Drosophila melanogaster: one gene and its partners. The protein of the gene in region 1 interacts with the protein of each later gene in a pairwise test. Each region holds a gene or a part of one and is shown in the gene's direction. Other genes may lie near its edges.

Region 1 (7,776 bases):
AATTTAAGAAACATATTAAGTTCTCGTTATTGTTTGAAGTTGAAATAATTCGGTGATATAATTTTAAGCTTATAAATAATAAAATAAAATATATCAAATATAATGTTAAGTCAAGTCCAAGTAATAATTTCTGAAGCACACTGCTATTTACCAATTTAGGGTGACCATTTAGAGTGTCTGATGCCGTTTGCCGTTTAGTGTACGCTATGGTCACTTTGCTGCCGGCTTTTTTTTTGTATGCGATTTGTTTTTGTGCGATTTATGCTGTGGTCCTGATTGTCCTTCTGTCGAAATGCGTGCGCCTGATGCGCTCCTGCTCCGCGTCGCTCTCCTGCTTCTACTGCTGACCACCGTCCGCGGAACCCTCGCCCCGGACAGCCACAAATCGAAGAGCAAGACCAAGGAGAGTGCTCTGCGTGGCGGTCCGCAAGACCAAGATGTTTTCGATCTGGGCTTGGTTAGTCCCGAGCCCCTGGCCAAGGATATCGTGAGCAATCATCGCGGGTACTTCAAGGAGACGGGATTGCGACGCTTCAATGGCACCACCTTGGGCTATGTGACTCCAGTAAGCAGAGGACGTACTCCCACATTTTGTGCATGTGTATTAATCTATTGTTTGCTTTGCTTGTAGTGGAACTCGCATGGCTATGATGTGGCTAAGATATTTGCCAAGAAGTTCGACATTATCTCGCCGGTTTGGCTGCAGATTGTTAAGCAGGGAGATCGTTATGCCGTAGCCGGAACCCATGACATCGATGCGGGTTGGCTAACCGATGTCCGGAGAAAGGGTAAACAGGTGCACAATCAGCGAACGGTTAAAGGTATGAGAAAATGATACCCGCTGGCGTTAGTCTAAACTCACTTTCCTTGGATTTCAGTGTTTCCCCGTTTTATATTCGATCACTTCACTGATCGGGACATTAAGCTCTTGCTTAGCGACGCCCAGGAGAGGACGAAAGTCAACGACGTGCTGATCAAGTGCTGCAAGGATAATGGCTTCGATGGACTCGTCCTGGAGGTGTGGTCCCAGCTAGCTGGACGCATAGATGACAAAATTCTGTACACACTGGTTTTGCAAATGGGTGAGCTTAATGCGTTGTAACCCTTTGTTTGTTATTAATAATTTAAATTTCTTTTACGTCACTTAGCCAAAGAACTACAAAAGCAACAGCTGCGACTCATTTTGGTCATTCCTCCATTCCGCAAGGAAACAGGCCACCTTTTTGGAGAAAAGCACATGGACAAGCTGTTCAAGCACATATACGCCTTCTCTCTGATGACTTACGACTTCTCCAGCGTGCAGCGTCCCGGAGCAAATGCACCATTATATTTCGTCCGTAAGGCTGTGGAGACAATAGCTCCAGAAGGTTGCGCTGATATGACGGCTAAGAGGGCTAAAATTCTGTTGGGACTGAATATGTACGGGAATGATTACACGCCCGATGGAGGTGGACCCATCACCTTCTCCCAGTACTTGGATCTAGTCAGGCATGTGAAGAAGCACCTAACTTACGATGAGCGGGATGTGGAAAATTTCTTTGAAATCAAGTGAGTTTTCTACTGCAGCGTATGCAGAGTGTAAGGCGAAGATGATGAATATCATTACTTTCAGAAACGATGACGGTCGCCACATTGTCTTTTATCCCACTCTCTATTCCATAAACGAGCGAATAAAGCTCGCCCAGGAACTGGGCACTGGCATTTCAATCTGGGAACTTGGCCAAGGCCTAAACTATTTTTACGATCTCTTCTAGTTAGCCTGTAAGCAGCATGCAATGCACAATACCTATTCCAAATAAAGGAAATTATATATAAGCCATAATGCTTCATAATTTTTCCAATTTACAATTTTAGTAACCAACTTTGAAATGAGGCGCCAATTTGTTAGTCAACCGACAGCCGCTTGACAGCACTGTTTAATTTATCGAATATTTTAAATTTATATCGGGCCGTTTACTCGTTTAAAACGATACTATCGCTGATGGTTTTTCAGCTCTAGAATAAATTTGTTATTATTTTTTTAGCCGGTGAGAAATCCTGAAATGCGCTTTCTTTATGCCTGCTTTGTGATCGTGCTGTGCGCCCTGATCTTCTGCGAATATGTGGCGGACTTTGTGGTGCTGCAAAAGTGCAAGTGGCCGGAGATAAAGCGAAAGAAGTATGTGGACGATCCGCTTAGGGCAATGATTCTAGCGGATCCGCATCTGCTGGGACCGCATCGTGGTCACTGGCTGGACAAGCTCTACCGGGAGTGGCACATGACGCGGGCCTTTCAGGCGGCATCACGTCTGTTCCAGCCCGACGTGGTCTTCGTCTTGGGCGATTTGTTCGACGAGGGCGACATGGTCAGCGACAAGCAGTTCCAGGAATATGTGTGGCGCTACCTGAAGATGTTCCACCTACCACCGGGAATTCCGCTCATCAGTGTCGCGGGAAATCATGACGTGGGCTTCCATTACAAGTAAGTCAATAAGAGACTATGTGTATTCCCTGATATTTGTTAAACCGCGCTCTTGTGTGTTTTCCAGAATGCATCCCTTCTTTATGTCGCGTTTTGAGAGTTATCTGAACAACTCCTCGGTCAATTTGTACACCATTAAACAAATCCATTTTGTGGTGATAAATTCGATGGCTATGGAAGGTGATGGTTGCATGTTTTGCACCCAGGCCGAGGATCAGTTGAAAAACATTTCGAGGACTTTGTACTGCATGAAGTATCCACTAGAGGCGGAGTGCGCTCGCACCAGGCGGCACCCGTACAGCCAGCCAATTCTATTGCAGCACTTTCCCACCTACCGCATTTCGGATACCATGTGCGAGGAGCACGATGCTCCGTACATCGAGGCGTTCCGAGAGCGGTTTCATGTGCTCTCCAAGGATGCCACGGATATGCTGGGAGAGCTGCTTAAGCCAAGGCTGGCATTCGCCGGTCATTCACATCACTTCTGTCACAGTGTAAATCGACTGGGCATCGATGAGTACACGGTGGCCTCATTCAGCTGGCGAAACAAAGTTAATCCCAGCTTTATGCTGGTGAGTATTATATTTGCTCTTACGATTGTTAGCCCTTCGAACTTGTACTAACATGCCATAACTTTTAGGCCACTATAACCCCCGATGACTATGTGGTTTCCAAGTGCAAAATGCTGCCACAGCAGTTTGTCTTCAATAGCTATCTGAGTGCTGGCATTCTTTGCCTAATTGTCATCGGGTTCCAGCTACGAAAGTGCATCCAAAGCAGAAGACAGTCGTCGGCTGTAGATCATCGGAAGGTTAATTAGTATGTATAAGCATGCCTATACAAGGCATATCCTCTTTTGTGATTTACGCCTGATTGGGGCTTAGTTTAGACTAGATACGCCAGATTCCAGACTCAGATCCCAGATCCAGATCCAGACAGAGGTCATATCATTCCTGCTGCTTTGCAACCGCTTAACTATATTCTAGGTGTACAAAATTCGGATAGTATGTATGATCTATTTATTGAATTTATCACAGACATTATGCTTGTAAAGTCAAACGGAATACATAATGAGACACAGTCTGCTGACTACAAATCGAAAATGCCAAAAAAATAATGCTTGAACAAAGGCTGGAAAGTAAAGAACGGATACAAACAGAACAATTAAATAAAGCTATATTATAATACATTTACTATATAACGTTAATGATTGTGCACTCTGTATTCTGAGATGCAGATTCATAGGTTCCTGTACTTCGGTTTATGTCTTCCAATATCTGGATCACATTGTACTAGACTAGGCTATCTATAAGGTAACTACCACAAAGCAACTACAACTACAAACTATGCTAACAAAACAGGGTGTGGAATTCAATGCCATCAATTCCATTAGTTTGGCACAGGAAGTTCTGGTTCGTCTATTTTAGGATACGTTTAAGAGGTTTTTGTGCGCCTGCGCATGGAGATTGCGACCACTAAAGCATTCTTTTGGAAGGAATCTAGAAGAAAAAATGGGTTTAATAACAGAGGTTAAACATGTGGTTACAAAAATTACCTGTGAATCACTGGTGATATTAGATCCGGATCTAGTGTTTTCATATTTGTGGGTTTGGTCACAAGGGAGACTAGTGCACCTACCACAATGACTGTGGCCACACCAATGGGATTTATCCAGTGGTAGGACAGTCGGTACAGTGGAAAAACTTGCTCCTCATCTACCCATATATTTTCCCGAAGCGTTACATTGCCCACACATCCCTCCACGGATACGGGAAGCTTTTGAGAATTCAATTCACCCGCTGCGATGGTAAACTGCGTTCCAAAGGATATCCACCCGGCGAGCAGAGCACTTGCAATTCCGCCCACAGCAGTGCCTACAGTATTGGCCCAGGGAACGAGCATTCCCAGGGTAAACAGGCCAAAAGTGGTTCCAGCTGCGATGGCCGTCATTGAAGTGCAAATGCTCAGGATTCCACTCAGTTGTTCCAGGACAAATACCAGTGATAGGGCCACAAAGCCAAGAACTATAACAGTTGACTTTACCAGAATGGTGGAGGCTCTTTCACTTGGTTGCATCTTGAAGCAGCCGCGAACTATATCCTCCAGGATTACCAAGGACGTTGAGTTCAGAACCACAGAAAGGGAGCTCAAGGCAGCTCCAAATATGCCGGCTATAAACAAACCAGACATACCATAGATATGACCCACACTCTGAACGACAAAGAGCGGCAGTAGCTGATCGTCGTGCTGCAAGGAAATAAACGTAAGTAAAGTTCAAAAACAATTTATTATTTACTCACTGTTATTAGTCCCGCACTCAGAGGATCACAATCTTTGTACATCTCATAGATTAGCAGTCCCACATAACAACAAACAGAGACGAAGGCAGCCACGCCAATTGTAAAAATGGCCATGGAAGCACGAGCCTTCTTGAGCGATGGAAGAGACATGTATCGCTGGACCATGGTCTGGTTGACGGCATTGAATGAGGTCCAGTAGGAGAATCCCCCGATTAGGACGCTCCAAACAGTGTGCCTTACATAAGGCGATGGGTTTGTATTGTTAAAGATCAATCGGCCACCTTTGGCAGCATCATCGAAAAGGACATTCAAGCCATTTGCATAGACAGTGGCCAAAATAGCCACAGCAAGAACGGAAAGGAACATGACCAGCACCTGCCAAGCATCTGTGTGGACCACTGCTTTGATTCCTCCCTGAAAATAGGCGCCATTAGTATAAAAACATACGTATGAAACTCTCTAAAACTTACGACAAAGGTGTAGAAAACACACACGACCACAATTACCACTGCAATCACATGGAGATTAATGCCCGATACTGCAAGATTATCGAAAGATTAAAGTTGTGTTTCAAACAATTAACAAATGCGGCTTACCCTGATTCAGAGCTATAGCTGGTACATACACAATGAAAGGCAGAAACAGAATCTAAAATTGGATCGACAATTATTACAACATTGCAGTCCAAATATTATCTTTGACTTACCTCATCCAGAATAAACATAAAGGATGCAATACTTCGTACGACCGAATGAAAGCGCATCTCCAAGTACTGAAAGCAATATTATATTTCATAATTCAAATGACTTGCGTTTAGGATTCGAAAACTAACGTCATAAAGACCGAAAACGAAAACTAATTGCTCGACACAATTGTCAAGTGGCAGAAAACCACATTGCAATTAATCATATCGAACCGCTGGAACCCAGAAAAAAGTCGCAACAAGTGGGCGAGTGCAAAGTCCAAGAAATTCCACTTGAGGGGAGGGTGGTCTCCGATTCCCAGTTAATTAAAGTGTTCACTACGTCCTCCGTTCATTGATTGGACAAAAGTGACGGAGCGAAAGGGGGAAGACGGAAACATCTTAGAAAGTTTGTCATTCTTATCAGCAACCACTACAGATGAACTTGTCTATCTTTATTTTAACTAACTCGTCATTGAAAGAAATGGTGAGTATTTTATAGCTAAATTAATATTTCCGTTAAAACCCAATTTACATTTTTGGTTGCGTTCTGGACGTTATTACTTTTACTGTTAGCATAAGCTTATTGACCCATTAGATTGTAAATGTATAAATCAGTTTATAGAATTTACGAGTATCGTACCTCATAGGAAGAGCCTACTTGAAGAGCCGAGAACACTGGTATGTAGACGTAGGAGACGGCAATACCTTGGAGCATTATTGCTATGGCTATAAACCAATATTGCGTGCCATAATTGTAGATCTCAGAGGTTGTGCCCAGTATGGTAACGCCCGATATATAGCTGGAAATAAAAGGGAACAGATTGTACAGGCATATTTGGAGGTGCGGGATCGCATCGCCAACTCTACCTGGCTATCAGGCTCATGGCAACGGGGAAAACTTTCAGATTGCGTGACCCTAGCAGATACTCGCTCATCTTCTCCGATCCGAAATCGTGTTTCCGCCTTTTTGGCGTGGTCGTCGGCAGAGTGGGTTCCGCCTCCTCGAGCTTCACCTTGCTCTTCCTGTAATTACAACAATTGTTTGGCAATATTCCGAGGATTTGTTTAAAGGTCACTCACTTGATGCACCCGAAATAGATGCCCGTGCTGGTGGATAATACGATCATGCCCAGGAAAACGGCATAGTCCACACTGCCAAATCTGTAGTTCTCCATGCCCTTCTTTGCCACCTAAGAAAAAGAGTTAATTTTGGGTCAGTTTATGATCTTTATATGATTTAGTTTAAAGTTTGTTGTGATTCTCCTTGGCAGTGACAATCTCTATCAGGTGGTTTTAAAGTTCAGAAACTTAATTTGTTTCTTTTGTAAGAACAAGTGTGCGAAATGAACTCAGAATTCATATAATCATCGCACGTCTGGGTCTGTGGCCAATATACTTGTAATTGCTGTAGTTTGTCTTAAATGGGTCATAAAATGAAAATGAGACTCTTGCTTTTAAAGTACCAACTGTGTACGGTAAGAGATTTTCTTAAAAGCTAGGTATAAAAAGTTAGCAAATACATGCTAATTACAATTATCTCGCTTTGTTTATTTATGTATTACTCCACAATACATTTTTATCTGCTTTTAAACAGTTTGTTTCGCTCGTCCAAAATGCCATGGCTTAATCATATTATTAAAAGTGGTACTTAAGTCCCTACAACCACAATGTCCATGTCCATGTGAAGTTATGGGAACCAGGTCTTATCAGCAGGTGCCTGCTTATTATTCATCAATCTCTACGGACTAGAGACTTTAACCCTTTTCCCCATGTATTATTTATTTAACATGTTTAGCAATCGCTTCAAAATTACAAAACATTTTATTAATATGATTTCGCGTTATTATCAAATGCATATTTGGCAAGATAACTCGTTCTGGTGACTTTGACATTATCCAGCTTTGGTTTTCTAGATTATGAATCTTTTGTTATTAGCAAAATTAATATATTTTTAATACTCCCAATTTTCTTTTACTTTCTTAGTTCCTATCTAATGATGCAGACGGTGTTTAGCATAAAATACTAATTTTTCGTCTGCCATTTAGGTTCATTGACTGGATGATCAATCGGAGCCGATCGAATCTCAGAGAAGAGACTTCAACCTTTTACGCAATATCTCGAGCAGCAGCAGCATTATCGCCCTGGACTTGGACTTTGTAACCCAAATGCCGTGTCCCCCGCTCCAAAGTTCCTAAATAGCTCTTAATGTTTGGAACCGGCGAAATGTGCAAAATACGTACCGCTTCCATATTGTTGGGGACCGGCAAACGCTAGGCTTTACAATGGTGGGGGTGGCTTCCGTAACTGGAGCAGCGGAGGTGAATGGAAAA
Region 2 (8,511 bases), on another chromosome or scaffold:
TGGAATGGACTTTCTTTTTTTTGTCGTTCCCTTTTTCTTTTTGAAAGTCAAACGGCTGCCGCCCAGTTGCCTGACAGAAGGTGATTGCTGCATAACTGAAGATCGATAGCTCGAAGTCATTCGATAACAGCAGGCGAAATATTTATGGCAAATCAATATATGATATTTAGGTTCTTATTTTTTGCGTTATGGATGTACTTCTATTAAATATTTTATATTTTTAAAAGCTGAAAATATGTTTTTAATATCCGCTGCGAGTAAATTAAAAAGTAAATGTTATCAAGCAGTTCTTTTTTTTCAAATGGTACATTTTTCGCGGTTCACTCGCGACTGCCAGTTGGCAGCTCCTAAGAGCGCGAACATCTGCTGTTGATAGTAAAAAAACGAGTTGGCAGTTTCTAAGGCTCTGCTGGTTCGGAGCGTAAAAAATTAAAATCAATTAAATCCAATCAAAGCGCCCAATAGAAGCTAGAACTGCAGCTGTGGACAGCAGAGAGTCTTCCCGATAACGTCGCAGATAAGAGAAACGCCTCTAACCCCCCGCAGGTGATAAAAAGGTGATAAAGCAAGCGAACTCACATACCGGTTAATAATCGATTAGTAGCCAATTGTTAATTGCAATTAGTTTGTTTATTTCTAGCAGCCGGCAGAATGTGGCGACAGCTCAGCGGAGTCGCACGAACAGGAAGCAGCCTAAGCCTCTGCAGAATGCGAGGATTCTCGGCACTGGTGCAGGATAAGGCCCTGGTGGATGGCGCCTGGGTGGATTCCAGCAATGCAAAGGCGACCTTCGAGGTGCGGAATCCTGCCAATGGTGCTGTCATCGGCAAAGTGCCCAACATGACGGTGGCGGATGCCCAGAAGGCCATAGACGCCGCTAAGCAGGCGTACGAGTCCAAGGAGTGGCGATCCCTGACCGCCAAGGATCGGTCCAACCTGCTCAAGGTGAGTGCCGGGATCACTCGTTATCAGGGGTGCTGATTGTTGACCCCACAGATAAAGACCATCATATAATATGATGGGACTATAGAGTTGGAAAGTTCGACTGTAGGTCATTGTCATTATTTCTTCCTCTGGTCTCCAAGTTACTTCTGCTTATCTAATCTAATCTCGTCTTGCAGAAGTGGCACAAACTGATCGAGCAGCACTCGCAGGAGATAGCCGAGATAATGACGGCCGAGTCGGGCAAGCCGATCAACGAGTCGAAGGGGGAGGTGGCCTACGGAAACGCCTTCGTCGAGTGGTTTGCAGAGGAGGCCCGTCGCATCTACGGCGAAATTGTGCCCAGTGCATCGCCCAATCGCGAAATCATAGTAATGAAGCAGCCCATTGGGGTGGCGGCGCTGATTACGCCCTGGAACTTCCCGATGGCTATGATTACGAGGAAAGCAGGAGCCGCCCTGGCCGCAGGATGTACGGTCGTGGTGAAACCTTCAGAAGACACTCCTCTTACTGCCCTGGCTGTGGCCAAATTGGCAGTGGACGCTGGCATTCCAAAGGGTGTGATAAATGTGGTCACCACAAACAAAGCGGCTCCCATTGGCGATCTCTTCTGCAAGAGTCCCGATGTTAGGGGTATATCCTTCACGGGCTCCACTGAGGTGGGCAAACTGCTGTTCCGGAACTCTGCTGATGGCATCAAAAGGATTTGTCTCGAGCTCGGCGGCAATGCTCCGTTCATTGTCTTCGATTCGGCGGACATTGAAAAAGCAGTGGATGGCGCCATGGCCTCGAAGTTTAGGAATTGCGGACAGACCTGCGTCTCCGCCAATAGATTCTTTGTCCAGGACAGCGTCTACGATAAGTTTGTTGGGCAGCTGAAAAAACGCGTGGAAGCTTTGAAGATCGGAGATGGTCAGGGTTGCGATGTGCAAATCGGACCACTGATCAACGAGATGCAGTTCAACAAAGTCAGTGGCTTTGTGGAGGACGCCAGGTCGAAGAAGGCGAACATTATTCTGGGCGGACAGCCGTTGCCCGACAAGGGATCCCTTTTCTACGCACCCACAATTGTCACAGATGTGCCACCCTCGGCGCAACTCTACTCGGAGGAGGTCTTTGGTCCAGTGGTCTCCATCATACGGTTCCGAGACGAAGAAGAAGCGGTAAAGAAGGCAAACGACACCAGGAGAGGCCTGGCCGGTTACTTCTACAGCGAGAATCTGCAGCAGGTGTTCCGGGTGGCCAAGCGACTGGAGGTTGGCATGGTCGGCGTCAACGAAGGCATCATCTCCGCAGCAGAGGCTCCGTTTGGTGGCGTCAAGGAGTCCGGTGTCGGACGGGAGGGTTCCAAACACGGTATCGACGACTATGTGGACATCAAGTACATTTGCATGGGCAACCTCAAGTACGACTGAAGTCCGATGGAGGGATCACCCCCACTGCTTTCATACGCTGTCTTCCACTAGAATGCGATTGGTTTATTGTTGTCTAATTGTAGAATAACACGCCGCTATATTAATAAATGTGCACAAAGTCTACCTGAAGCTAATAGATAATTTCCCTTTTTTAAAATAGCCCGCCTCACCTTTCGATTAATTGGGATTGGTTAACAATCGCTTTAAATTGACAAGAAACCGATCATAGAGACATCGATATCCGGGAGTAATCGATTTTTCTCCACCTCTGGGCAGACTATCGCCATCCCCACAGCTGTGCGACAGAGACAGAGACAAAATTACAATGCCAAATGACAAAATTGTAAGTAAATTGTTGATAAAAAATTAAAAAGTGCATTTAGGGTGGAAACTAAGCGAATGTCTTATTGGTGAAGTGTGTGCAGTGAAATTGGTCAAGTGTTTCCCTATAGCTACCCACCAAAAAAGCCGGCAAACAATGTCGGTTTTCCAGTTCGCTGGCGTTTGTTGTTGTTGCCTAAATGTATGGAAAATATATTTAAAGTGCATTTCAGCCGGCAAAAGCGAAGCATATAATGCATAATGAACCCATTTGGAAGCACTCCCGGCAGTGCAAATCCACTGCAAGTCCCGAAATGCGGCCAAAGGTGCTGGCGGTGAAATTGAATGGTACCATGACTTGTAGATTTTCCACTGAAAGAGTGCAGTCTAGGCGGCAGTAGGACTGAGGGGAGTGTGCGGGGGTTTTGAGACCAAAAACCGATCCAAAAACCAAATAAATTATTAACAATTGTTGGCTGCAATCCGCCTGGGGGAAATGCATTTGAGGATATTTCTGTCTAATAAAGCAATTTCTGGTTGATAGGGTGCTACACTCAGAAAAATGTCTCTGCGTAAAATTAATTTTTGAAATATATGTTTTGTAAAATAAGAAAACTGCACATACCAGTAAATAGCACAACTTAAAATTTTAAATACAAATTTAATATAATTTTTTTGTTTTAAAACTGCATGCAGCTTGTCTTTCAAAATGCTGTTTTATTTTTTATTTAAAGCTCATACAATTACAGATCCGAATTTACATATACAGGCATTAGTTCTCTTTTTAACTATGCACTCATTTTGGCAACGAATTGCATTTGTTTTTAATTGCGATGCCAGATAAATTTCCGCAGTCAAGTTCGCGCCTTCATGACGTACAGTTCGAAACACTAAGCAAAAAGCCCTACAGGCTTTGGTAGCTAATAGCTACACTTGACAATCCCCCTTACCCAATCTACCACCCACCACCGCCCACACAAGAGCCCACCCAACCGCCCATCACCCAGTGACCCGTCCAGAAAGTCCAGAAAATGGCCTGTGCACCACTGCTGCTCGAGCAATTCATCTACAAGAAGCGCAATTTCGCCTACGCCTTTGTGCGCCATCGTCTGTTTGTGTTATGTAAACAATCGGTTGGATCAGAAATTGCCAAATTCACCTGTCCTAGTACTAATTAGAATCTGTTATTCATTTGTTAATTCCAGCTAATTCGCGTTCAGTCGGCGGAGGGCATCAAACGCATCGAGATCTCGCCCAAGTCAAATCTAAAGCATCTGTACGACAGCGTTCAGAATGCCCTGAAGGTGGATGGATTTGGTCTCTTCAAGGAGCGCAACTTCCTCACAGAGCTGCAGGCAAGTGGCTCCCAGCTGGTGGGGACTTCCTTGAGGCATGGCGACATGGTCTACTTAAAACAGATGGCTGGCACATCATCGCGCGTAAGTTGATCATATAGAGCAGAACGATCGGGGACTAACCTGCATTTTTCACCACTTCTCAGCGCACTAGCACCACTGTCCTGGACAGTCAGGCGTTCAAGACTAGCACCATTAGCAATCCAAACAGCGCTCGTCCATCCTTCAATGTGATCGAAGATGACGTGGACCAGGCTCTGAGCAAGGCTGATGGCACCATTAAGCGCGAACGTGATAGCAAGCTGTAGGCCTTGATTATACAATTAATTGTAAAATTAAACTGATCAACCTATAACTTTTTGTAGGTGCCACCACAATGCCAACGGCCGTTGCGTTCACTGCTCCGCACTGGAGCCCTATGATGAGTCCTATCTGAAGGAGCACAATATCAAGCACTTGTCCTTCCACTCGTACATACGAAAGCAGACATCCGGCATGGATCAGGGCAAGTACTTTGTCTTCGACGACATCAATTGCCGCATCAAGCCGGGATGTCGCGAGCATCCACCATGGCCCAAGGGCATCTGCTCCAAGTGCCAGCCGTCGGCCATTACGCTGAATCGTCAGACATATCGCCACGTGGACAACGTCATGTTCGAGAACACTAAGATCGTGGAGCGCTTCCTCAACTACTGGCGCACCACAGGACACCAGCGCATGGGATATCTGTATGGGACGTACGAGCAGCACACTGATGTTCCGTTGGGCATTCGGGCCAAGGTGGCTGCCATTTATGAGCCGCCACAAGAGTCTACCAGGGATTCGATCAATATTCAGCCGGATGAGTTCGCCGACGATGTGGATGCCGTAGCCAGTGCGCTGGGACTGAAGAAGGTTAGTTAGTTATAGACAGTAGCTATGTAGCATTAGTATTGACTTTTGTGACATTTATAGATTGGTTGGATTTTCACTGATCTCATCACGGACGATGCGAGTATCGGCACTGTCAAACAGATCCGTGGCATCGAGTCGCACTTTATTACGGCCCAGGAGTGCATCACAGCTGGCGAGCTGCAGAATCGACATCCAAATCCGTGTAAATATGCCTCCAATGGCGTCTTCGGCTCTAAGTTTGTGACCATTTGTGTAACAGGTAAGATTCACGATTTAATACTGCTTAATGAACTAGTACCAAAATAGTTTTTAACATTACAGGAGATAAAACCAAACAAGTGCACATGGAAGGCTATGCGGTTTCGGCTCAGTGCATGGCTCTGGTGCGCGATAATTGTCTGATACCCACTAAGGATGCGCCCGAGCTGGGCTACGTGCGTGAATCCACGGACAAGCAGTATGTTCCCGACGTTTTCTATAAGGTAAGTTAGAAAGTCTCCCCCCCATTCAAGCAAAATCAGTTATCGGGCAACCTTTATTGAATTACGTTCACACATTTACACAAACAACTTCCATATTTAGACATCAATACGAATGGGATTTGGTTTTTCAGTTTGATACATGCAAAGAAAATTTGGGTGTCAAGAGCAACGCCAATTCAAACATTTGACATCTAGAGGCTTACATTATCTTGGATTACGTTGATTTATTTATGGAACAACTTCATTATTTTCCTTATCCTTCTCGGTTTGTACTTCTCATCATTGCTCTGGGTTCTCCTTCAAACGTTCATTTTATTTTTCCTATACCTAGGACATTCATAAACAATGTTGTTATTTAGCGCATATTCAATTGTTAAAATAACTTTCTGAGCAACTGCCAAGCCAATCACAATTTTCCAGTTATTACCCTTATTTTTTTTTATTTATTTTTATTTTGCCAAACTGTTTTGTTCTATCTAATGCTTAATTGTGATACGCGTTTTTATTATTTTGGAAAATATAAGATTTCGATTTGATTTTTTTCTTTTCAATTGAAGTTAATCGTTGATTGATTGATTACTTAAAATAATTTAAAGTATAATAAGTCTACAAATTTCGTAAAATTGATTTCGATTTGTTCCTAAAAAGATTCTTTGCCTTCCTTTACATCGCTAAGGTCATATTATTACTTGATTCCCTTATTTTTATGGATGGCTATTCTTGGCGTTCATTATTTCATCCATCACAAACATAGCCTTAGTTATGATCACATCAAATGCATATTTAGACACCGAAAACTATCTCGTTTATTTACTTATTGCTAATAGGTTTATTTCATATTAATTATTAACTTGAATTGACATTAATTACATGTCAGCTATGTATTTGGATTTCACCTTACTCGTGGTTTCAAATTTTTAAGTTTTTATTGTAGCTAATTTACTATATCCAGGTATCGTCGTAGCGCTCCAACGCACATTTAGTGTCGTTTTCCTTAAGCTAAACTTATTTAAATACTCAAGGTCTGTTACAATTTCCACCTTGTCCATGAATCTGAAATGTTTATAGATCATTGATAGTCTTTTTTTTATTTAAAATAGCATCCAAAACGTTTCAATAAGTTGTAAATTGTTTATAAAAATTCTTTCTTTCTTTGTTAAAAAAATTGGCTTCTGTTGCTGAAAATGTCGAGTTTCAAGTGTCTTACATTGATCGTTTATTTTTACAAAATTTATACCAAGATTTGCATTCCAAGAATAAAATAGATATTGGGTGGTGTTGTACATTCAAAGTGTTTAGGAGCTTTCGGTTTGATACTGTTCGATAAGTAGGATTAGCTAATGGATCAGTCGGACTTATTATTGGTTTAAATGATATTCCCCACAATTCCGGATAATGCTCCTAAGGGCCGGGCGTCCTAGAGCATTGCCACTGGCCGCAATTCGGTCCACCAGCTCAATGCCCTGGACAATGAATCCGAAAATGGCGGTGAAGGATCGCATCTCGTTTAGCACCAGCCGAAATTGGCTGCCCACAAATCCACTTCTGTCCTGTCGCCGCTGTCCCCTGCGCATACCAACCGTTCCCCGATGTGCCGGCAATCCCGTTTCGTCTGGCAAAAAGTATCTGCTCTCAAAGGCCGAGTGCCCACCGCGTCCGTTCTGCGATTCAAAGTCGCCGGTGATGATGCTCTCGCCTCCCCAGGCCTGAAAGACAGTGCAGCCACGATAGCCATAGCCCCGCTCGTGCCGCACCAGCGCCCCAAAGTTGTCCGCCATCCGGGGAGCAGCATCAGATCGCACCTCGATTAGGACCCGTCCGGCCAGTTCTCCTGCTATTTCCATGTCCAGAAAGTAGATGGGGTAACAGTGAACGATGGGCTGACGCACAATGCTTACCGATGAACTCGTACCGCCATCCTGTCGATGATGATCATGGCTTTGTTGACCAATTAGCTGCGGCTCCACCGAGTTGACGAGAATCGCATCTGGCTGGTAAATTGAGTGGGTAAGCTGGTGTACTTGCTGCTGCTGCTGCTGCTGTTCCTGTTGCACTTGCTGCGGCTGCTGTTGCAACTGGCGCACCAATTCTCGAAGTCCATATTCCGTGTCTAGAGCAATATAATTGCTTTGGCTGTTTGTACTGCTGCTGCTGTTCGGCGACGAGGAGGATTCGTGTGAACCATCATACGGAGGTTGACTGAGCGTTCGAAACTGCTCGAGTTCGATCTGCTGCACATAATCCAGAAGTTCCACCTCCCGCAGGCTATTATTGAAATGCGGAGGCACCACAGCTCGCCGCGGTTCCGGCAGTAATTCTGGATCCGGTGTCAGATTCCTGTGGCGTGGAGGAATCATTTCGCGCTGCATCTCGCACCAGTAGGCGTACACACAGTAGTTGGTGAGGATGAGCGCCTGCGGTGGCCCCACATTGGCGGGAATAGCACCGGGCCGACGATGACTGCGTAGCCGTGCGATCCTGTTATTCAGAGTCTCAAAGTCCAGGACCTGCATCCCGTTCTCCTGAATTGCGGCTTGCATTCGACATTGAAAGTGCACCTGGTCCAACTGGCGCTCGTATCGCTGCCGCTGTGTGGCCAAGTGGGCGAGCACCTGCAGCATTTTTGCTCCAGTAAGTCTACCGACTCGATGCAGATCCCGCTCGGCTAGTCGATGCCAACCGATCATCGAGGCCGCAACCATGCTAGAATGGTGTTCCAGCATCTCACGCTTCACATGCAACTGAACGCGGTAGCACGCCTCGCACAGCTCGCGTAGTAGATCCATTTCGTGGGTGGCCAACTCTTTGGCATGGACAGCCGTGCTCTTGATCTTCCTCAACTCGGAGTTGAGCAGTTGGCTGATAAGGTCATGGTAATCAACCTGGCGCACCAGGATATGGTCCTGGTGCAATGGGACATCCGAGCAGGCACGGCACAGCAGACGTTGGCAATTGTGACACCACGTGGAGTTCGGCATGGCATGGATGAAACAGTGCTCCGCACTGGTGGCCAGAAAGCTCTCCACGTTGATGTCTTCCACCCAGTTTTTCGATGGGCTGCTGGGTGCTTCTTCAATAGACATTTCAATAGTGCTGCTCCTT
Region 3 (6,650 bases), on another chromosome or scaffold:
AACTTTGAGTACCGGCCGGTTTATGGCACGGACAACCACTTCCGCGGCATCTTCGAATGGGGCATGCTGTACAAGGAGAACGAGGTGCCACGTCGCGAGCAGCGCCGCCGTGCTCACAACTCGGAACCCTATCGCAGTCCCACGCACGCCGGCGGCCTGTTCGCCATCAATAGGGAGTACTTCCTGGAGCTGGGCGCCTACGATCCGGGTCTGCTGGTCTGGGGCGGCGAGAACTTCGAATTGAGCTTCAAGATCTGGCAGTGTGGCGGCAGCATCGAGTGGGTGCCATGCTCTCGCGTGGGTCACGTCTATCGCGGCTTTATGCCCTACAATTTCGGCAAACTGGCTAGCAAGAAGAAGGGTCCATTGATCACGATCAACTACAAGCGCGTCATCGAGACGTGGTTCGACGACACGCACAAGGAGTACTTCTATACGCGCGAGCCGCTTGCCCGCTACCTGGACATGGGCGACATTAGCGAGCAACTGGCGCTGAAGAAGCGACTGAACTGCAAGAGCTTCCAGTGGTTCATGGACCACATCGCCTACGATGTGTACGACAAGTTCCCGGGTCTGCCGGCCAACCTGCACTGGGGCGAGCTGCGCTCGGTGGCCTCCGACGGATGCCTGGACTCGATGGGCCACCAGCCGCCGGCCATCATGGGCCTCACATACTGCCATGGAGGCGGAAATAATCAACTGGTTCGGCTCAATGCCGCTGGCCAGTTGGGCGTCGGCGAGCGCTGCGTGGAGGCCGATCGGCAGGGCATCAAACTGGCCGTGTGTCGTCTGGGGACAGTCGACGGTCCTTGGCAGTACAACGAGCACACGAAGCACCTGATGCATCGCGTCCACAAGAAATGCATGGCCCTGCATCCGGCCACGCAGCAATTGTCATTGGGTCACTGCGATGTTAACGATAGCTACCAGCAGTGGTGGTTCAAGGAGATACGCCCACGCTGGTAAGTCCAGCATGTTTGGGAGGAGCAGCAGGAGGAGGAGGATCAAGGAATGGATCACAAGGGTTTCAGCCGGGGCAACGGGGGCGATATTTTAGACAAAAGCAATTTAGTGAAAATGAGAAATGGAATTGTTGTTGGTTTTGTAACGCATATAAGTATTGATATACACACGAAAAACACAAGATATCACACACATCTGCATTTATGACGCGAACTGTATGTACATATGCACTGTCGGCACTTGGAAATCGCCTGGGCAACCGGGATTCAGACAAGGGCATTCAATGCTCGGCGAATAAATAAATCCACAAGGATATTATTAAATTATTAAAGCTTAAGAATTTCGATTTTGTAAAACAATGTCGTAAGGAATCGCGAACAATTGTATTTCCATGTAAGCATTAGAACAATTGCTTTTAGACCATATTTGTAGTGCATGAAGTGAATGCAATTTTCAAAATCGTGTGTGTGTGTTAGTAGTAGTCGTACTTGAAAACTGTTTTCCACTTTTGTCACGAAAGATCAAACTCCACAAAATGCACTTAGTGCAGAGCGTACGAAAATCATCACAATTAGCTGATAGTGAACCCATTCCCATTTCGATCGGCGAATCTCATACAATAGATATTCAATTGATATTTGGGAGGATCCAAGCCTGGGGGATTTCCGTGCCGACCTCGTGTGTGTGTGTCCTTGCGTATGAGTGAGAGAATGCGATGGGTATAGAGCGGAAGCGAATAAGAGCGAGATAGCGCGATGGCGGGATGGCGAGTCGAGTGCAATAGAGGATTTATGAAACGGGAACGGGACGCGATGACAGGGCCGCAGATTGTTTTGCTTTATGATTGCCAACTGAAAAAATGAATGTACTAACCTTAGTCTATACTCCTGCAAGTCCAACTAATCCTAGCTTAGTTTCAACGCTGCCACATTCCAATCTAATCCATTATAATCTATTCTAATTCCAATCCAATCCAATCCGAACCGAACCAATCGAGTCTGCAGCGAAGCTCGGCTCTCTTACTACTAATCCCATTATTTTTTTTTAAACTCTTGATTTTCGTAAAGCTCTCTGTACCAGGTAGTCGTAATCGTAATTGATCGTTGCAAGTGCTTCGGGAGTTTGATTTTTGAAAACAATATTTTACATTCATGTGTAACTTTAGAGTTATCGATAAGTCTGAATAATAGCATAGAAATAAAAACGTTTTCTAAACACTTTACCATGTAAGCCGAGCTGTTGAATGTTTAATATTGTGGGGAAGGGTCGATCCATTTATAAATCAATAGATATAATAAAGTTCCCATCTCAAGATGTGCTCACAATTTGAAACCTAAGTGCACAGAACAAGTTCGCATTTTTCGAAAGTTTTTAAAATTTCTTTTAATTTTATATTCTTTTGACGTAGGTGCACCATTAATGCCCCGCCAATTCTTTAAGTGTACGCATAGAATGGCGAGTAAATCCAATTTTAAGCAGATGATTCATAACTTATTGTTAAATCAAATCTACAATTATCGATGGCCGCGTTGATTGGGAGTGGTGATGATGGGTCGATTCGTCTCGAAGGTACTCGACGTCCCACTTCCAGGGAAGTCCACGGGCGATAAGATTCCGGGAAGTTCTTTCCTCCATCGCGGGTAGGGAAGTCTAAAAGCGCGAGGAAGGGGGAGGGAAGTCCAACAGGGGGACGCCAGCAGGTGTCAATCCTGGGGCAATAGATTGCGCCTAGAGTTAGTTTTTGGCTAATCAGGGCCTGAGGAAAAAAAAAAGATTGTTTGTTTACCGTCGGATAGGAAAGGTCGTACTCCCAAAGTGGGAGTCGTGGTCTTATCTTCCGCCCATTGGTACACCATCGCAGCTGCCGGCGGGGCGAAAGGGGGATGATTGGATCCGAGCGCAATAACACCGAAATTGTTCAATTTAATTGAGTGAAGTGGGAAGCTTCCTTATCAGCATTATTATGGTTACACTTCCGTGGGGTCGCTGCACTGTAAGGTGCTAGATATAAAAAAAAGCCCAATAACTCATTTATTTATCCTCTAAGCTCTAATTCAATACAAGAGTTTCATTTCTGAACGAGAAGTAGAGCAGTTCCAGCGTCGGTGTGACTCTTTTTCCGGTATTGGATTAGACATTGTCACTTGCCACTTGAAATTGGCAATGGGCCTGATAAGGGGGTACCTAATATGATTCAAAGAAAAACAGTGGGCGGTATAAATAGGTGGTTTCCAGACCTTGGCCATCATTCCGTGACTTCAACGTGCCGTGACTGGAGACCCTTAGTCCACACACTTCGTTTACCTCGAATTTCAATTCAACGCCCAAGATGTCCAAGTTTAGCCTCATCCTGTTGTCCGCCCTGCTGGGCTGTCTTGTGTCCGGTGGAGCGGCTGGAACAATACGTGTGGATACCACCGGCATCCAAGTGGTGGATAATATCCATGTCTTTGCCGCCCAATACCCGGGTCTGCAGATCCAGCAGATGGAGAAGGAAATTGTGCCGGCCAAGGCCCGCGTCGGAAGCCAGACCGTGCGCTACAACATGGGAGCCCGCATTCCGGGTAAGTTACCCAAAGCATACCCTACGTTTGACCGACCACCAATCACTGATCCCGCAATCTGGCATACTTTCAGGCGACGAACTGGTGGCCCAGACAGCCAACACTTACGAATTCCCACGGGCGCAAGATGTGAGCCTGCAGCTTACCTATCCGGAGAACGGCAAGGGTGCCACTGTATCCTACGTGGAGCTGCTCTGCACCCAGGACACCAACGAGGGCACCGCCTACGTGGTCGCCGGAGGCATCGGCCAGAGCTTGATCTCCATCGTGCTGGAGGCCAAGAACACCAAGAACTTCTCATACCAGGCTCTCTACTACGGAGTCAACTAGGAGGCATTTGCATTAGTTCCTCGCTAGCTTTATATATATATATATTTTTTTTTTTTTTTAAATGTGACTCCAATTTTAAATACATATGTATAATGGCAGACTAAAATGATTGCAGCACCTGCAATTATCTAGATTTACGTAATTAATTTCATTTCATTGATGGGATAAAGTTTATATGCTGTCATATGTTTAATCGTAAATATGCAATTAGATCATATATGTTTGTACTATCAGTCACTCTGTTAATTGAGTTATATGATAAATCAAATTCGGACCTGTTCCTCTAATTAAAAAATTTCATTTTTAACGAAGAATGTGTAGATCCAAAGATATACATGTACGTCTTTCACTGTGTACGATCGAATGTCGAATGTATTGCAAAGCTGAAAAGTCGGTAATGGTAGAGATCATATATCACCATCCCCAGGGTATTCGGTAATCTTGATCAATTTCAAATGGTTCGTTGCTCACGCGCCTTCCACTCGAAACCGATGATAGCCATTGCCATAAATCTGGGACAGCCACTCACCTGAATCCGCTGTGGATTCCGATTGCGGCTCCGTTTGGCATGGAAGGTGAAACCAAGGCGGCAAATCATCCAGGGATTTGTCTGCGAAAGAGTGAGACGCATGAAGTTTTTGTTCTACTGACGTTATTGAACTTTCCCCCTATCTGGCTGGATTTTTAGAAGGAATTCCCAACCGAATGAATCACGTTTTGGATGAGAACGAACAATGGCCAAACTCCCAAGACTTTGCGATTCAATTGGGTATTTATCATATAGCTGGGCATCTGAGTATCTGAGTATCTGTCTTCATTCAACTATTGGGGGGACTTTCTCTGGTGGTAAGTACGTCAGTCCAGAATCGATGTGGTATATATAGATATGTATGAATATAGTATCTATGACCATGTTGCGTAGACAGTCAATTGACTTTGTAGATACGGTTATTTGTTTATTAGATTGTTTGCCATTGTGCGCCATTATGCATATCAAGGCTAAGATTGTCGTGGAACAAATAAACAAACAAACACGCGCCATCACAGATCGTCATTCAACGGCGGAGGAAACATTTCCTTTATCCAGTAAGGTGGTGCTTCCTATCACTGGTTTTATTATTGGGTGGGTTGTCATAAAAAAAATAAAAATAAAAATCAACAACATACTATCTAGCCGCTTACTAATAGATTGAACTACGATAGCACATTAAGTTAATGCTTCTTGTACGCAGTCCGTCCAATCGTCCAATCAAATAACAAGTGTTCCCATCATATCCCATCATATGCCCATCCAATCCAATCCATTTCCCAGCGGTGTAAGCTCGAGTGTCCTATTTATAGGAACTGATCGCAGCATTATGGCCAATTAGTCGATGTGGTTTTATAAAGGCGTTTGCCGAAATTGCCACAGCCAATTCCCCCGGGGGCTTATCGTTCAGTTGTGTCGGGCCGTCTTATCGACGTAGTGACCGCCGATAAGGAAGCATGTATAAAAGCCGGAGGCGGTCGCCAGTACCAGCCAAAATTCAAAAAGCGTTCGAATAGTGCATCAGAAAAGGAGTCTACACACCCCTTATTCTTCCGATTATTTTGTTTCGTTCCCATTTTTTTTCTGGTGATCTGGTGATGTTAACAAAGATGTTCCTAGTGCTCTGCCTGGTGCTGGGCATCATGGCATCGGTATCCGGACAGCCACACGCCCGTGCCAGCGATCTCTACTATACGGACATAACGCCCGTGACCGACGAAACACGCTACACCACCCTCAATCCGGACGCACAGCTGAACGAGATGAACAAGGTGAAGCACTCGAAGGGCAACGTGGTCTTCACCGCGGGAAAGCGGGCATCGGGTGACCGACTCATTGTGAACCACTACGATGACGACAGCTTTCCCAGTGCCAAGGATGTGGAGGTGCTCATGAGCTATCCGGCCGGAGCCAGCACAGGGGTCACGCTGACGAGCATCGAGGTGTATGTGGACATGACGGCGGACGATGCCGGTGGCTATCTGACCAAGGGTGGCATCGGTCAGACCAACGTGGAGATTCTGCTGACCTCCAATCAGACGCGCAGCTTCGTCTACGAGACGTTCATCTATGGGTACTAGGACTGCTCGCCCAGAACTTTCAGCTACAATAAACGATTCGCTTGGAACCCAACTGTGATCATGAACTCCAGACCCTGCCCCTGTCCCTGCCCTTCCTGCCGAGAGTATTATTAGTCATAGACGTACATACATTAAAGAATCAAATTTCAAACGGACTACTGTGCACATCCTTTTACTTATCCGTACCATTGCAGAAATAAAGTGTTCCTTGTTGCTTGGCGCCCAAACGAAAGCGATTCTTTTCAGCTCCAATCCTATGAAGCCACTGAAAAGGTGGTTTCTCTACCTATGTATATTGTTTTGATATGAGTATATATAAGATAATTTATAAATGTATGAAAGGTGAGCTTAACTCCCAGCGGTTAGCCGGTTTTTAAAGTTTGCTACTTGCCAAAGGAGGAAAATATTCAATCTTAAATTTTGGGTTCTGTGTCCTCGATTGTTGCTCAGGGATTTCAGAGTACTGATCCGGAGAAGCTTAGATAGGAGGATGCGGATAGGGCCAGAGATAAAACAAAGCGGAGTTCCGAAGTTGAGAATCAGTTTGGTGCGAACTCTGGGAGAAGCTGCACCATGATGTGAAGATTCCTGATTCTGTTCACGGCACTTGGCGGAATTCGAACATGGGCTGCCAAGCTGAAGTTTTCCCTAAACGGTGGGTGTGTATTGCAGTCACCATTCAAG

Evidence for each region. The genes of interacting proteins can lie anywhere in the genome.
Region 2: the proteins of PGAP5 (region 1) and Npl4 interact in a two-hybrid assay, tested with the Drosophila melanogaster proteins (one large-scale study listed by BioGRID).
Region 3: the proteins of PGAP5 (region 1) and CG15043 interact in a two-hybrid assay, tested with the Drosophila melanogaster proteins (one large-scale study listed by BioGRID).

What each region holds. Positions count from the first base shown.
Region 1 is NT_033779.5:8,197,001-8,204,776, forward strand, and holds PGAP5 (Post-GPI attachment to proteins 5), read left to right. Parts: upstream 1-1,952; 5' UTR 1,953-2,042; coding exon 2,043-2,461; intron 2,462-2,528; coding exon 2,529-3,033; intron 3,034-3,101; coding exon 3,102-3,280; coding exon of another isoform or gene 3,281-3,281; exon of another isoform or gene 3,282-3,345; coding exon 3,346-3,355; 3' UTR 3,356-3,652; downstream 3,653-7,776. Other genes in the region: CG8460 (uncharacterized protein), read left to right, coding at 293-565, 632-821, 879-1,082, 1,149-1,548, 1,613-1,754; SLC5A11 (Sodium/solute co-transporter-like 5A11), read right to left, coding at 3,885-3,960, 4,017-4,708, 4,762-5,175, 5,232-5,299, 5,358-5,409, 5,468-5,533, 6,087-6,246, 6,314-6,469 and 2 more. UniProt on the Drosophila melanogaster protein: Metallophosphoesterase.
Region 2 is NT_033777.3:25,618,778-25,627,288, reverse strand, and holds the start of Npl4 (nuclear protein localization 4), read left to right. Parts: upstream 1-3,543; 5' UTR 3,544-3,709; coding exon 3,710-3,811; intron 3,812-3,883; coding exon 3,884-4,117; intron 4,118-4,179; coding exon 4,180-4,337; intron 4,338-4,398; coding exon 4,399-4,927; intron 4,928-4,987; coding exon 4,988-5,186; intron 5,187-5,248; coding exon 5,249-5,409; intron 5,410-5,450; exon of another isoform or gene 5,451-6,767; coding exon of another isoform or gene 6,768-8,511. Other genes in the region: Ssadh (succinic semialdehyde dehydrogenase), read left to right, coding at 652-945, 1,122-2,357; CG5071 (uncharacterized protein), read right to left, coding at 6,768-8,511. UniProt on the Drosophila melanogaster protein: May be part of a complex that binds ubiquitinated proteins and that is necessary for the export of misfolded proteins from the ER to the cytoplasm, where they are degraded by the proteasome.
Region 3 is NC_004354.4:18,490,725-18,497,374, reverse strand, and holds CG15043 (uncharacterized protein), read left to right. Parts: upstream 1-3,206; 5' UTR 3,207-3,292; coding exon 3,293-3,527; intron 3,528-3,600; coding exon 3,601-3,857; 3' UTR 3,858-4,182; downstream 4,183-6,650. Other genes in the region: Pgant7 (polypeptide N-Acetylgalactosaminyltransferase 7), read left to right, coding at 1-966; CG15044 (uncharacterized protein), read left to right, coding at 5,484-5,966.